3 linked regions of the Pelodiscus sinensis genome follow. The protein of the gene in region 2 interacts with the protein of the main gene of each other region in a biochemical or structural test. Links are inferred from orthologs where the notes say so. Each region holds a gene or a part of one and is shown on either strand. Other genes may lie near its edges. The genes, in order: POU2F1, RXRA and TRIM24.

Region 1 (3,746 bases), on a different chromosome or scaffold from region 2:
CGGTGTAACCATTCTATTTCAAGATGTTTTCATTTAGGATTATCTATTTTACTTCCTGTGATTACCTATTTATACTAACTCCCAGTAGCTTGCTGGCAGGAAATAGTTAATAAAAACCATCTCAGAACGTGCTGCAAGCATTTCTTCTTTCAATGTGCCTAGTGTTCATGGTGTTTTTAACCACCTGGGCCCTTATCTGGAGGCAAGCTCGGCATGAGTACAAGGGTCTCCTTTGATTGTCAGTGTTATAGATATACTGCAAAAAAAAAAAAAAGTAACAAAACAGAGTGAGAAAACCAGAGGCAGGTGCCCACTCCATGGGCTCAGCAAGCTCATGCCTTAGGTGACAGGGACCAGCATGCCTATTTGATCTGAGGAAGTGGGTCTGGCCCACGAAAGCTCATCATCTAATAAACCATCTTGTTAGTCTTTAAAGTGCTACATTGTCCTGCATTTTGCTTCCCTAGCCCTTGTGTCTCGGGACATGCTCGTGAGGCGATTGCCGCCCCTCAGGCCCGCTGGAGCTGGGAGCTGGCATGGTCGGTTTTAATGCCCTCGCCCCACCCGGCAAACAGACGCCTCCGTCCTCTCACAGCAGCGCGCCACCAGCGTGTCCGTGGCACAATGCACCTCCGCTGGAACGAGCCCCCCCGGCCAAGCACACAAGCAACTAAAGCCCCCAGACAACCATCCCCCGCACTGCGCAAGCGCGCGCTCTGTAGCCGGGAGGGAGGTGGGCCACAAAGTGGCCCGCGCGTCGAGGTCGTTTACATGCTAACGAAGACTAGGGCAGAGGTAAATGGCAGGAGAAAACGGCGCATGCGCACAGGGGCTGGCTGGGGGTACACGCAGAGTAATGGGCCAGCAAGAAAAAAGCGGATAGCGCAAGCGCGAAGCGCTCGCCCGCGAGAGAGGGCAGAGCGCGCATGCGTCGTGACTCGCGTGCTGGAGTGAGGGCGGGGGGCCAAGGAGAAGGGAGACGGCGGCTGCGCGAGTGGGACGGGTGGGGGCTGCGAGCGAGCGAGCGAGGGAGGGTTTATCGGGCGGCCGATTTTGGTTAAAATATTCAAAATGGCGGACGGAGGAGCAGCGAGTCAAGATGAGAGTTCGGCGGCGGCGGTGGCGGCGGCAGGTAATCATTACTGCGTTTTACATATTCATATTCATACTCGCGCGCGCGGCCCCCCCGCCGCCCGCCCGCCCCGCTTAGCATAATTTATTAGTACTCCGGATTATTATAATTAACGGCACAGGGGGGAGCGGGGGCAGCGGCAGCCTCCCCGTGCGGGAGACACACGCACGGGCGCGGGGGGCAAGGGGGCGCCTCCCCGCCCCCGAACCCGGCCGGAGGCCGCCGGGCCGCCCTGGCAGCGCCCGCACGCCCACAATAAAGCCGCTTTCCATATTCATGGCGGAGCGGGCCCAGATCGGGCAGGGAGCTGGGGGGCAGGGCCCGGAGCTGGGGGGCGAGCACCCCGCGACCCCCCGCCCCAGTGGGGCCGGGCCCCCCATGCTCTTGCGCCGGGGCGCGGGTGTGGGGCGCGGGGTTTGGAGGCGAGATATTGGCTCTTTTTTGGTCCCCCCCACCCCAGCCTTGGTAGCGTTATTTCCCCACAGCCCGAGGCCTGCCTGCCACGGGGGGCTGGGTGCAGAGGGCCCGGGGGGGCGGCTTGGCGAAAGTCTTCTCCTCTGTCCCTACAGAAAAGGTGCCTCAACTCCGCTCGACTCCTTGCGGGGGAGGGGGGTCTGCCTGGGGGCGAGGGGCTGCGTGGGGTCTCTGTACCCAGGGGGCTGGGCTGCCCTGACATCTCCCCCTCCCTTCTCGCTTCCTTAGGAGTCAGCGAGGCCGAGTAGAGCAGTGGGGGGTATCCTGGGATAGGTCCCTGGGGGAGGCTAACAGCCAGGCCCTGCGGGGCTTCTGATGGGTGCATGGGGTGGCAGCATTGGCGGCTGGGGTAGCAAGTTGGCTGCCAGGGGTGCGGAGCCGGCCTCCTTCTCCTTCTCTGTGTCTTGGTCTCATTTGAATAATGTCTAATTCGGGGAGGTTTATATTATTGAAATGGCCGCCTGGGTTTCCCCGCCTCTCATGTTTAGTAATTCAGACCTTTAATAACAGCCACTCAGAGCCCAAAGCCGTGTTTATATTTTACATTCGCCCCATGTGCTTTTGTGGTTCAATATGATTCTTCTTTCTTGCTCTCTCGCTTTTTTTAAATTTTCTTGGCAACCCACAGGGCCCAGAGATCAAACCCAGGCCGTGTGGGGAGGGGGTGAGAGGAGGAAGAGGTAGGCCCTGGCTCCTCTGGCAGACGCCTAGGCCTCATTCTCTGCCGCTTGATTTATTTACTAATAACCAAAATGACCCCCCCACCCCACCCCCGCCAGCAAAAACAAAACCCTCCTGGGGCTTGAGCAGCATCAGAACTGCTTCTAGCTTCACACACTCATGTCTTTTAAATAAGGGGCTTATTTTTAATTTATAGCAACACAAGTATTTAAAGCTGTCCCTTTCATAACTGTTTTTCAGTGAGTATTGAGCATTTTCATTCCTTTGTCCCCAGTTTACTTAAAAAAAGATTTGCTTTTAATGTACATTTATTGGGTCTCTGAGAACACTTTCAAAAGCTAAAAAGCCTCCCTCCTACTCCCATATACAAACTAGATTTAATATGTAGAAGCAAACCTTGAATTTTGGATCATATCACATTAAATACAATAAACCTCTTTCTCCTTAGTGTTTATGACCTGCATTTTGTATAGCAGTCCTGTGTGTTTGATACTTTTGTCAGTATCCCTGGCCTTCTGAGTTATTTTTAATTTGACAGTATGAGAAAAAACAAAACAATATAAGTTTTCTGTGTTTGTATGCCATACATAGTTGACTGAATGAAAATTGAAAAATATTTTTCTCCTTAAATTGTCAGGGCTACCTATGTTTTAGCCAGCCTCCAGGCAACTTAATGACAAGCAAAATGGACTCCTTTTTCAAGGGAGATAATGGAGTCATTTTATTTTCATGTGGTATTAATGTTGATAAAACTGTGGTTTTTCGTTAGTGGCCATTGTTTTCAGCTGTGGAGGAAAAGAATTGAACAGAAGGGTATCTTATAGTAGCCCTATCAGATGAGTATGCAAACATCTTTGAAGCATGATTAAGAAGAGTTCATGTAATAGTGCAATCAGCATATTTTATAGAGTTTGCTCGAAGGTTAATTTGTTAGAGAATACTGGTCTTCAGTTAATAGAAAAACATTTTTAATTTTAAAATGACCACTCTCACTGCTTACTTTCTCCCCCTCTGCCTTGGTAAAGACAGGTCTTGAATACTGCAAGAAAAGATCTGTAGAACCTATAATGAAACTGTTCAGGTGACTGACTGCTTCATAGACCAGCAGCATGGGGTTGGCTGGACAAAAAGCAATAATATGATTTCATGCCTTAAATAGCATATGTTTTTGCACTCGCTTCACAAGATGTGGTCAAGCTGATGATGTCACCGGCCAGAGGACAAGGTGCAGTTAATTTGATTTATTGACCTGGGATGAGGTGTGCCAGTGAAATCTTCTTATAGAGAAACCATTTATCTGAGGACAGTTTCCTTTATAGAAGCAATTTAACCACTGCTGAGACTGTAGATATTTTATCCAAGATGGTAAAAATGTACATTCGCATCTTGCAAACAAAAATTTGATTCTAACTGACAATTTAGTAATTCTGAAAGGATGAATGGCTGGACTCAGGCCTTG
Region 2 (3,746 bases):
CGGCTTGTTTTTATTTTCTCCCCTTCGGGGTCCGTGGATGTGTTACGCTAACACTGCTGCTCTCCTCCGAATGCTTCAGCTCCTGATGGGCTGAAATGTGTGTTGCAAATTTCCACAGAAGCAAACCAGGCCCTGCTCCCATCGTTTATAAATGAGTTTTAAATCAGCTTTTTTTTTTCTTCATTTGCACCCAGGAAAAAATCCTTTATCAGCCTGGATATGCACATTTCGTCTCCCCAAGATCAAATGTCTGTTAATGCTACATTTGGTTAAATGTATATAGTGCCCAGCCATCAAAATACCTCAGGTACTGTCGAACCCCCAAGTATAAGATTTAGGAAGTCAGGGGAGGTTTTGCCTTTGTCTTCAGTGCCTACGTTGTTCCCAGTGTAAAGCGTGAATAAAGTACAAAGCTGCAAATAAAATTAAGGCATTTGGTGGGGAAGGCAGAGATACAGCGACGCAGCAGTCGGCAGAACATGATTTTTAACGGCTTCCGATGTTTTTGTTTGAGCCACCCGAAATAACGGCAATAAAAAATAAATCCGTTAGACTGAAAAAAAAAAAGATGTTGTGAGTGTCAAGCGGCAGAGGAGAGATTTCCACTTGGAAAAACCACTTGAGCACTTTGGGGGCCTTTTCATCTCCCATCAAAATCAATTGCATGTGGCAATAAAACCACAATGGTTTTTAGGACCGTCTCATGTCCAAGGGACCCAGGACTGAGCACAGGCACCGCTGCTGAAGTCACAGAAACTCTTTGGTGTCCATTTGGGAAGGTGCATTTTTTTTGTTGCTGTTGTTTATTCGGCCATTAAAAAAATGGACTCTGCATGAATGAAAACCACCACTCTTTTAAAAGGGGTTTAGTGCACTGATATGAAGGAACCAAGCAAAACCAAGGGACGTCAGAGTTCAGGCTAGCACTAGCAGGCTGCTCTTCCTGTCCTGCCACGGGCTACAAGTCTGTAACTCATGTCGCATGTCTGGCCAGCCTTAGCCCCCCACCAATATACCGGGGTAAAAAGGGGAGATGGAATTTAGCGACTGATCTTGCCTGGGATCTCAGTGACAGCAGGATTGGGCCCTTTATCTGAGCTGCGAATTTTCCTGCCCCTTGTTGCTCACAGTTATTCTCCCAGATTTGTTGGATTTTAAACGCTGGCCTGTAGGGTAAGCGCAAAACAACGGCACTTTTTGGAAATCAAGAGACAAGGAAGCTTTTCCCCTTTCAAGCCAAGACTTGATTCCCTTACTGAAAGGTTGGCAAAGTCACGCTGGGAGGGGGGGGGGGAATTGAAAACACAATAAAACAAACCCAAAGAGCCAACACAGAACCTGTCTGGGGTGACACCTCTTTCTGGAAAAAGAAGAAAGATGCCCCTGAAATACATCTTTTGGATCAACACTTGGCGGTCAATGTATTACAGGCAGGCACCTTTAACCCCAGCAATTACATTTATCTCTGCCAGACTGCACACGGCAAATGCCTACAGAGGAAGGCAAGGGCTGGAGAAGGGGGGGAGAGGAGAAGGAAACAAACAAACAAGTACATAAATACAAAGCAAAGGGGTTTTGCCACATGTCAGCCACTGCTCCAGGAATAAAACAGAGCATTCAGAGCAATGCAAGGCACAGCCAAAGCCGGTTGTGCAAAACAAACCAAGACCTGTCCGGAGTGGGCGCACCCTTCAAAATCTCACTTAACACCCCGTTTCCATTCCAGAATTGCTTTTGTCTAGGTCAGTGGACCAGGGACGGGGGTTCTGTGCCTGACGATCGGGGCCACTCGAAGAGCAAACTTTTAATTCTTTTTTGAGTGCCTGGCTGCGAGTCCCACGTTTGAAAATAGCGCTCGCCGCCGTGCCAAGTCCCTTAGCGGATCTCGCTCGCTCTTGCGCGCGCGCGCATTTTGCGCCCCCCAACCCCCGCCCCGCGCAAAAAAAATGTCTCCAGCGTGTCCGAGCTCCCTTCTTTTCCTCCCCGCGACCCCCCCCCCCCCCCCACGCCGCGGCCCATCCCGGGCCCTCTCCCCAACCCTCCGGCCACGAAGCAGCGCGCACGTATTTCCAGCCCAAAGCTCGCAGCACTTTCAAAAAAATCAACCCCCCCCCCTTCCCTCCTTCCTCAACAGTAGTTTGATCTGTGGTCTCCATCTGCAAAACACAATGACGCTCGCTCGACACGTTGCAGGGGAAGGGAGAAAACAAACAAAAAAAAATAATAATCCAGACGCGCATCTACCAAAATTGGGACTCGCCAAGAGGGAACAGGCCAAATCCACAAGGGATCGGCGCTGTCTAGGGCAGGCGGCGAAACTGACAAACAAGTCCCCGCGCTGCAGCGTCCCCCCCCAGCAATGCCTCCCAGTCCATGCACGAAACAAGCTTTCTCCAGCCAGCCTGACTTCCTGCAATGGTTCGTGGAAAAGGGGGCATAGGGGGTGTCCCGGATCAAACCATCCGCGTTGCAATAAAGCCACTTTTTCATGCCCCCCCCCTCCACACCCCCGCCCTGCTCCACTTCTCCCGGCCGATCGTCTGTCCTTTGCACGCTTGCCCTCTGCCCCCGCCCTCCCCCAGCAAGCCATAGCATTTCAATCCGAATATCTAGCGCCGTCTGCGCGGAGAACCCTTTGCAACAAAACTCACCCAGTGGCAGGAAATGTTTGGTGTCCATATCGGGTGTTTAACTCATGCCCAAACGATTTGTTGAAGATCGGTGGAGGCAAAACACACGCGCGCGCAGAAATCAAAGCAAACGAGAGAAGGGAGGGGGGTGTAAAAAAAAAAGAGGGGGGAGGGAAAAAAAATCAAAGCCCGCAGCTTTGCATTGATTTAAAAATAAGCAGCAGCAGAAGGCACGCAGCACCGGAGCGGGTGGAATAGGAAATCCAGTCACAGTGTGTGTAAGCCCGAGGCAGGGGGAGTTGTTTCAAACTCACCCAACAATGTAACTAAAGTACTTGTGTCTCTGTGTCTCTCTATTCCAACTACAGGAGCTGCAATGCAAAGGGGACCCAGCCAAGGGGGAGCGGGAGGGCCAACCTGGTCGCAGCGACGGCACGGCCAGCTGGGAGCCTGCACCAACTAGTTTTCTCGAGGGCGGCCGGGAGGGGGAGGCGGGTGGCTTTGAAGAGGGGGCTGCTTTCAGAAGCTGGCTTAGGATCCGAACGAGCATAGGGAAATTGCATGCAAATCACGCTGCAGGGCGCCATGGGACGATACAGGTTAAGAGCACATGCAGGGGAAAAGGCCCATCTCAGAGCTTCACAGGTAAAGGTAATTGAGGATGCAGGTGGGAGTGGTACCCCGTCAGGGCTCTTGCTGAAGTGATGCCATTCAGTACTTTGGGGGGGCTTTCATGGGTGGTAGAAGGACTGGTCCAAGTCGTAAAACTTTTGTAAGTGGGGGACTTACAGGGAAGGCGGCTGAGCAGAGCCAGGAAAAAGAAAGGAATTACTTCTGAGAGTAGAAGAGGGAAGATGGGGCCCGTTAGGCTGAGATTTTCCAAAGCTGCCTCAGGAATTAATGTCCTGGGAGGCTGGAATGTTCCTATTCCTGGCTGCGAAAGTCTCTCTGCCTTAGAGGGAAAATTGGTGGGTGGATAAATAGGCTAGATCTGCTGGCCTGCCTATCACGTGTTGGAATGATCCATCAATTTACCACAGACACATGTTACAAAACCCCCGTCTAGGTAACTGACACGAGTCACCAAATGCAAATTTAAGGAGGCACGAAGGAACT
Region 3 (3,746 bases), on a different chromosome or scaffold from region 2:
ATATATACTGACCCAATAGCATATCTTGAAAACTAGAGCCAATCAACAATTTTAAGCACCATTTTCGTTCTCAGTGACCCAGAATTAGTAAAGTTTGACTACATTTATTTCAGAAGCATTTTGGCTGTAGAGCAGTGTTACAGAGCAGCTAATTTTGTTACTCTCTCTTATTTCCATCCCAAGATACTTGTTTGAGCTTTTCTTCAGGATGAATTTGTGCCTAAAAAAAGAGGACTATGTAGCACTTTAAAGACTAACAAGATGGTTTATTAGGTGATGAGCTTTCTGTGGGCCAAACTTGGGTTTGTTTTTTGTTTCACTTACACCAGACTAACAGGGCTACATTTCTTTGCCTAAAAAAGGACATTTTAAATCCGCCTTACTCATTTTTTGGATAAATTACGGATAAAGAACTAGATTTCTGCTACTATGTAGCAATTTCCTAGAGATATACCAGAGATCAGGTAGATCTTTACAATGAAAAGCACATTTTGCTGTAGACAACTTAATCTTGGCATGCTATTCAACTGAGATTAGGTCAGTACATCAGTTTAAAATAATAATTTAACTATGAAGATTCATATGGAAAATGTTTAGCTTATAAATGTTATCACTTATTTGTATTACTTGAGCATATAAAAGTTAAGGCCTCAGTGTGCTAGATATGGTACAAACTAGTTCACACGTATAAAAGGTGTAAAAATCCCATGAAGGGCTGCTTAAAAGCTTACCCTCAAAATGATTAAAATAGTTTAACCACGGAACACAGAAACAACTTCTCTCACCACCAAACGACAGATCATTTACGATGCCATACTTCTCTCTTCTCCCTACCAGAAGCTCATCTCAGCTCCCTTTGCAGTACAGAGCAAGTCAAATCTCTTCAGCGTGCAAAAGTGAACAGTGAGAAGCAGCAATACCACTTACACATCCACGTTAAGTACATTTCACGGCACCGGTCAGCTTTCTTGCCTTCTGTTTAGTACGTGCCACTTGTTACAGATTATGTGTGTGTGGCTCCAGAAGGAACAGCAGTTGCTCTTTCCAAGAACTAGAGCTAAATCGATAAAGCCAAGTACCAGAGAGCACCATGCAGAGAACAGCCCAGCAGCGTGAGGAGGACGGAAGGTGATTGTAGAGGATACCAGAGGTGTTTCCCTCCTCTCGTGTCTAACAACCAGGCCGTACAAACAGCAGGAAGTTGCCATTGTGATGTCCCCGACAGAAGAGTGGCCGTTTCCCCCCGCCCGCATTTGCTCCTGGAAGTTGGCTGCCCAGCACACACAACAGAGGGGCCGGGCTCCCTTTCAGGATTACTCCCCTCTCACCTACCCGCCGCATCGCGACACGACCCAGGAGCTCACGGTGACCAATTCATCCCCACACGACAGCAACACCACAGCCGCGGCGGGAGCGGCCAAAGACCCAGGGGCCTCCCCCTGGACCGCCAATGGTGGGGGGGCCCGGCCAGCACCTTCCCATCTCCAAAGGGGGCCGCCGCGGTCCCTGTCAGCGCCAGAGCTCTCGGGTCTCAGTCCCGACGCTCTCCCGTGCTGTCGCGACACAGCAGCGCCCTGAGCCAGCCCGGGACGTGCGCTGAGGGAGGGGGGACTTACCCGGTGTGCAGTGCAGGGGTGAGGTCGGCGAGGGGACGGGCGAGGAGGGCGACGCCGGCGGCTGCAGCTCCTTGGGGGTGGTGGGGCAGGGGGAGGGCGCGGCGGGGGGCAGCATGAGGTAGCGGTCGGGCTGCGGCAGGCAGCGCTGGCAGAAGGAGTGCAGGCAGGGCAGCAGCTTGGGCCGCCGGCTCTGGATGTGCTGCCCGCACACGCCGCAGGTGTCCAACAGGTTGAGCTGGGCCGCCTCCCCGCCGCGCTCCGCCGGGCCCTGCCGGCTCTCGGCCTCGTTCTCCCCGCTCAGCGCCGCGGCCCCCGCCCGATCCGCCGGCCAGGCCCCCGCCGCCACCGACACCGTCGCCTCCATTGTCCTTGCGCCGCCTGGCGCCTTCCGCCGGGAGGAGGTGGGGGGGGGGGGAATACGACTCCTCCACCGGCCGCTCCGCACCCGGCAGCCCCGGCTTCGCGCGCGCGCGCCCAACCGCCCCCGGGCCGCGTCGCCAACGATCGGACCCTGCCCCCCTCCGCCAGCCGCCGTGTTTGTTAATCCTGGGAGACTGCACCCGCGCGACACGGCCAACGGCTACCCGGGCCCCGCCCCCTCCTGCGAGAGAGGGGCTCCCCCCCGTAGCCCCGCCCCCTTATTGTACGTCGGTTCCGCCCCGCTCCTCCCACTGGCTCATCCCCTTCCCCCCGCCCCGCCGCACACAAGAGACTCCGCCCACCCCTGTACAACTCCACCCCCATCAGTCCCAGTACCGCTCCAGCTGCGTACGGACACCCGCCTTCCAGCCCCGCAAGCGTCCCAAGCCCCGCCCCCTCTCCTCCCAAAGCCCCGCCCCTCACCCTTCTGGTGGGTGTCCCGCCCCTTGGAGACCTGCTGGCTGGTCTGTGACTGAATCCTGGCCTGGCTTCCCCATGACCTCACTCCTTCCCGAAGTGACCTCCCTCTCCGGTCAATATACTTGGCTGGGTGGGAGAGGAGGGAAGAGTGTGTTGGGGGGGGGGGGTATCCTGCCCCTTACTTCCTCCTTGCTCCTTCTAGGCTTGCTACCTCTGAAAAGCTAAAAAACGTGGCATCCCTCGCCTCCCCACGAGACAAGACCAACCCAACCATAAGACAACTGTGCCCCTTCAACTGTCACTTATAGTATCTAGAGAGAGCACATCTAGATAAGAATAATAACATCGCCCCTCTCCTCGCTCTCCCCAGACTCAGATTCTCTCTCACAGGCAGGATGCACTTCTTATGCAGGAAGATTCCGTTGTTTTGATGTGTTATTGCTTAAACTGTGGAAGTGGGATCACTGCAGCATGTTTAACTGGACAGAATTTTTTAACATTAGATGTCCCACTGTGTTGTGATAATATTGTACATCTTTAGATGCACCTTAAAAAACAGCAGATTATTTTTCTGGCAGTTGACAAATCCATACATAAACCAGACATACTGGTCAATTATGGACAAGGTGGTAACCCAATCCCCTCCTGTTTTCAACCAGCTGTTTCCTCCACCTTTCCTAGGGACACTTTCTGTCTCTCCCATTCCCTAGACTTTGGCTAGAATAAGTAAGATGCAGGGTTTGGGGTATTTGGGTGACCAAAGAGCAAGTGTGAAAAATCAGGACAGGATGGTGCATAATAGGTGACTATATAAGACAAAGCCCTCAACATCAAGGTTATCCAGCCATGTGGACACCTTGCTTCAGCATTGTGCTGTATAGGAACCTGCCAAACAGAGAACTGTTCCCGAATAGATACAGGGGATCAAACCCCCAAAAGTTTAGGAGATTCCCACCTAACTCCAACATCTAGCCACAGGGATTCTCTCTCTTTCAATACTTTGCATTTTGTAGACCTTGTCATGCCAATTAAAAAGTCTTATGGCTCATGTCTTTATGACTTTTACCCTACGGCTCAATCTAGGCCAAACCACAAACATTTTATACTCTGGAACAAGCATTTGGGGTGTTTCCAGACTAGCCTTTACAGATGTGCCAACTACTTGAAGTTAATTATAAATCAATTAACTCAAAGTGGAAGGAAAAAAACTACTGTAATACAGTAAGCTGCTAACCTAATTATCTCTCTCCTCCCTACTCCCTCTCCATCCACAAAAGATACTGCCTCCAC

The links.
Region 1: the proteins of RXRA (region 2) and POU2F1 form a complex in vitro, tested with the Homo sapiens proteins (2 studies listed by BioGRID). The link is inferred for Pelodiscus sinensis from reciprocal best matches to the Homo sapiens genes RXRA and POU2F1.
Region 3: the proteins of RXRA (region 2) and TRIM24 form a complex in vitro, tested with the Homo sapiens proteins (3 studies listed by BioGRID). The link is inferred for Pelodiscus sinensis from reciprocal best matches to the Homo sapiens genes RXRA and TRIM24.

What each region holds. Positions count from the first base shown.
Region 1 is NC_134711.1:161,876,710-161,880,455, reverse strand, and holds the start of POU2F1 (POU domain, class 2, transcription factor 1), read left to right. Parts: upstream 1-1,014; 5' UTR 1,015-1,071; coding exon 1,072-1,132; intron 1,133-3,746. UniProt on the Homo sapiens protein: Transcription factor that binds to the octamer motif (5'-ATTTGCAT-3') and activates the promoters of the genes for some small nuclear RNAs (snRNA) and of genes such as those for histone H2B and immunoglobulins.
Region 2 is NC_134732.1:18,242,178-18,245,923, reverse strand, and holds the start of RXRA (retinoic acid receptor RXR-alpha), read right to left. Parts: upstream 3,006-3,746; 5' UTR 2,680-3,005; coding exon 2,652-2,679; intron 1,950-2,651; exon of another isoform or gene 1-1,949. UniProt on the Homo sapiens protein: Receptor for retinoic acid that acts as a transcription factor.
Region 3 is NC_134711.1:101,186,489-101,190,234, forward strand, and holds the start of TRIM24 (transcription intermediary factor 1-alpha), read right to left. Parts: upstream 2,226-3,746; 5' UTR 1,981-2,225; coding exon 1,617-1,980; intron 1,108-1,616; exon of another isoform or gene 1,093-1,107; coding exon of another isoform or gene 1,080-1,092; intron 962-1,079; exon of another isoform or gene 947-961; coding exon of another isoform or gene 928-946; intron 1-927. UniProt on the Homo sapiens protein: Transcriptional coactivator that interacts with numerous nuclear receptors and coactivators and modulates the transcription of target genes.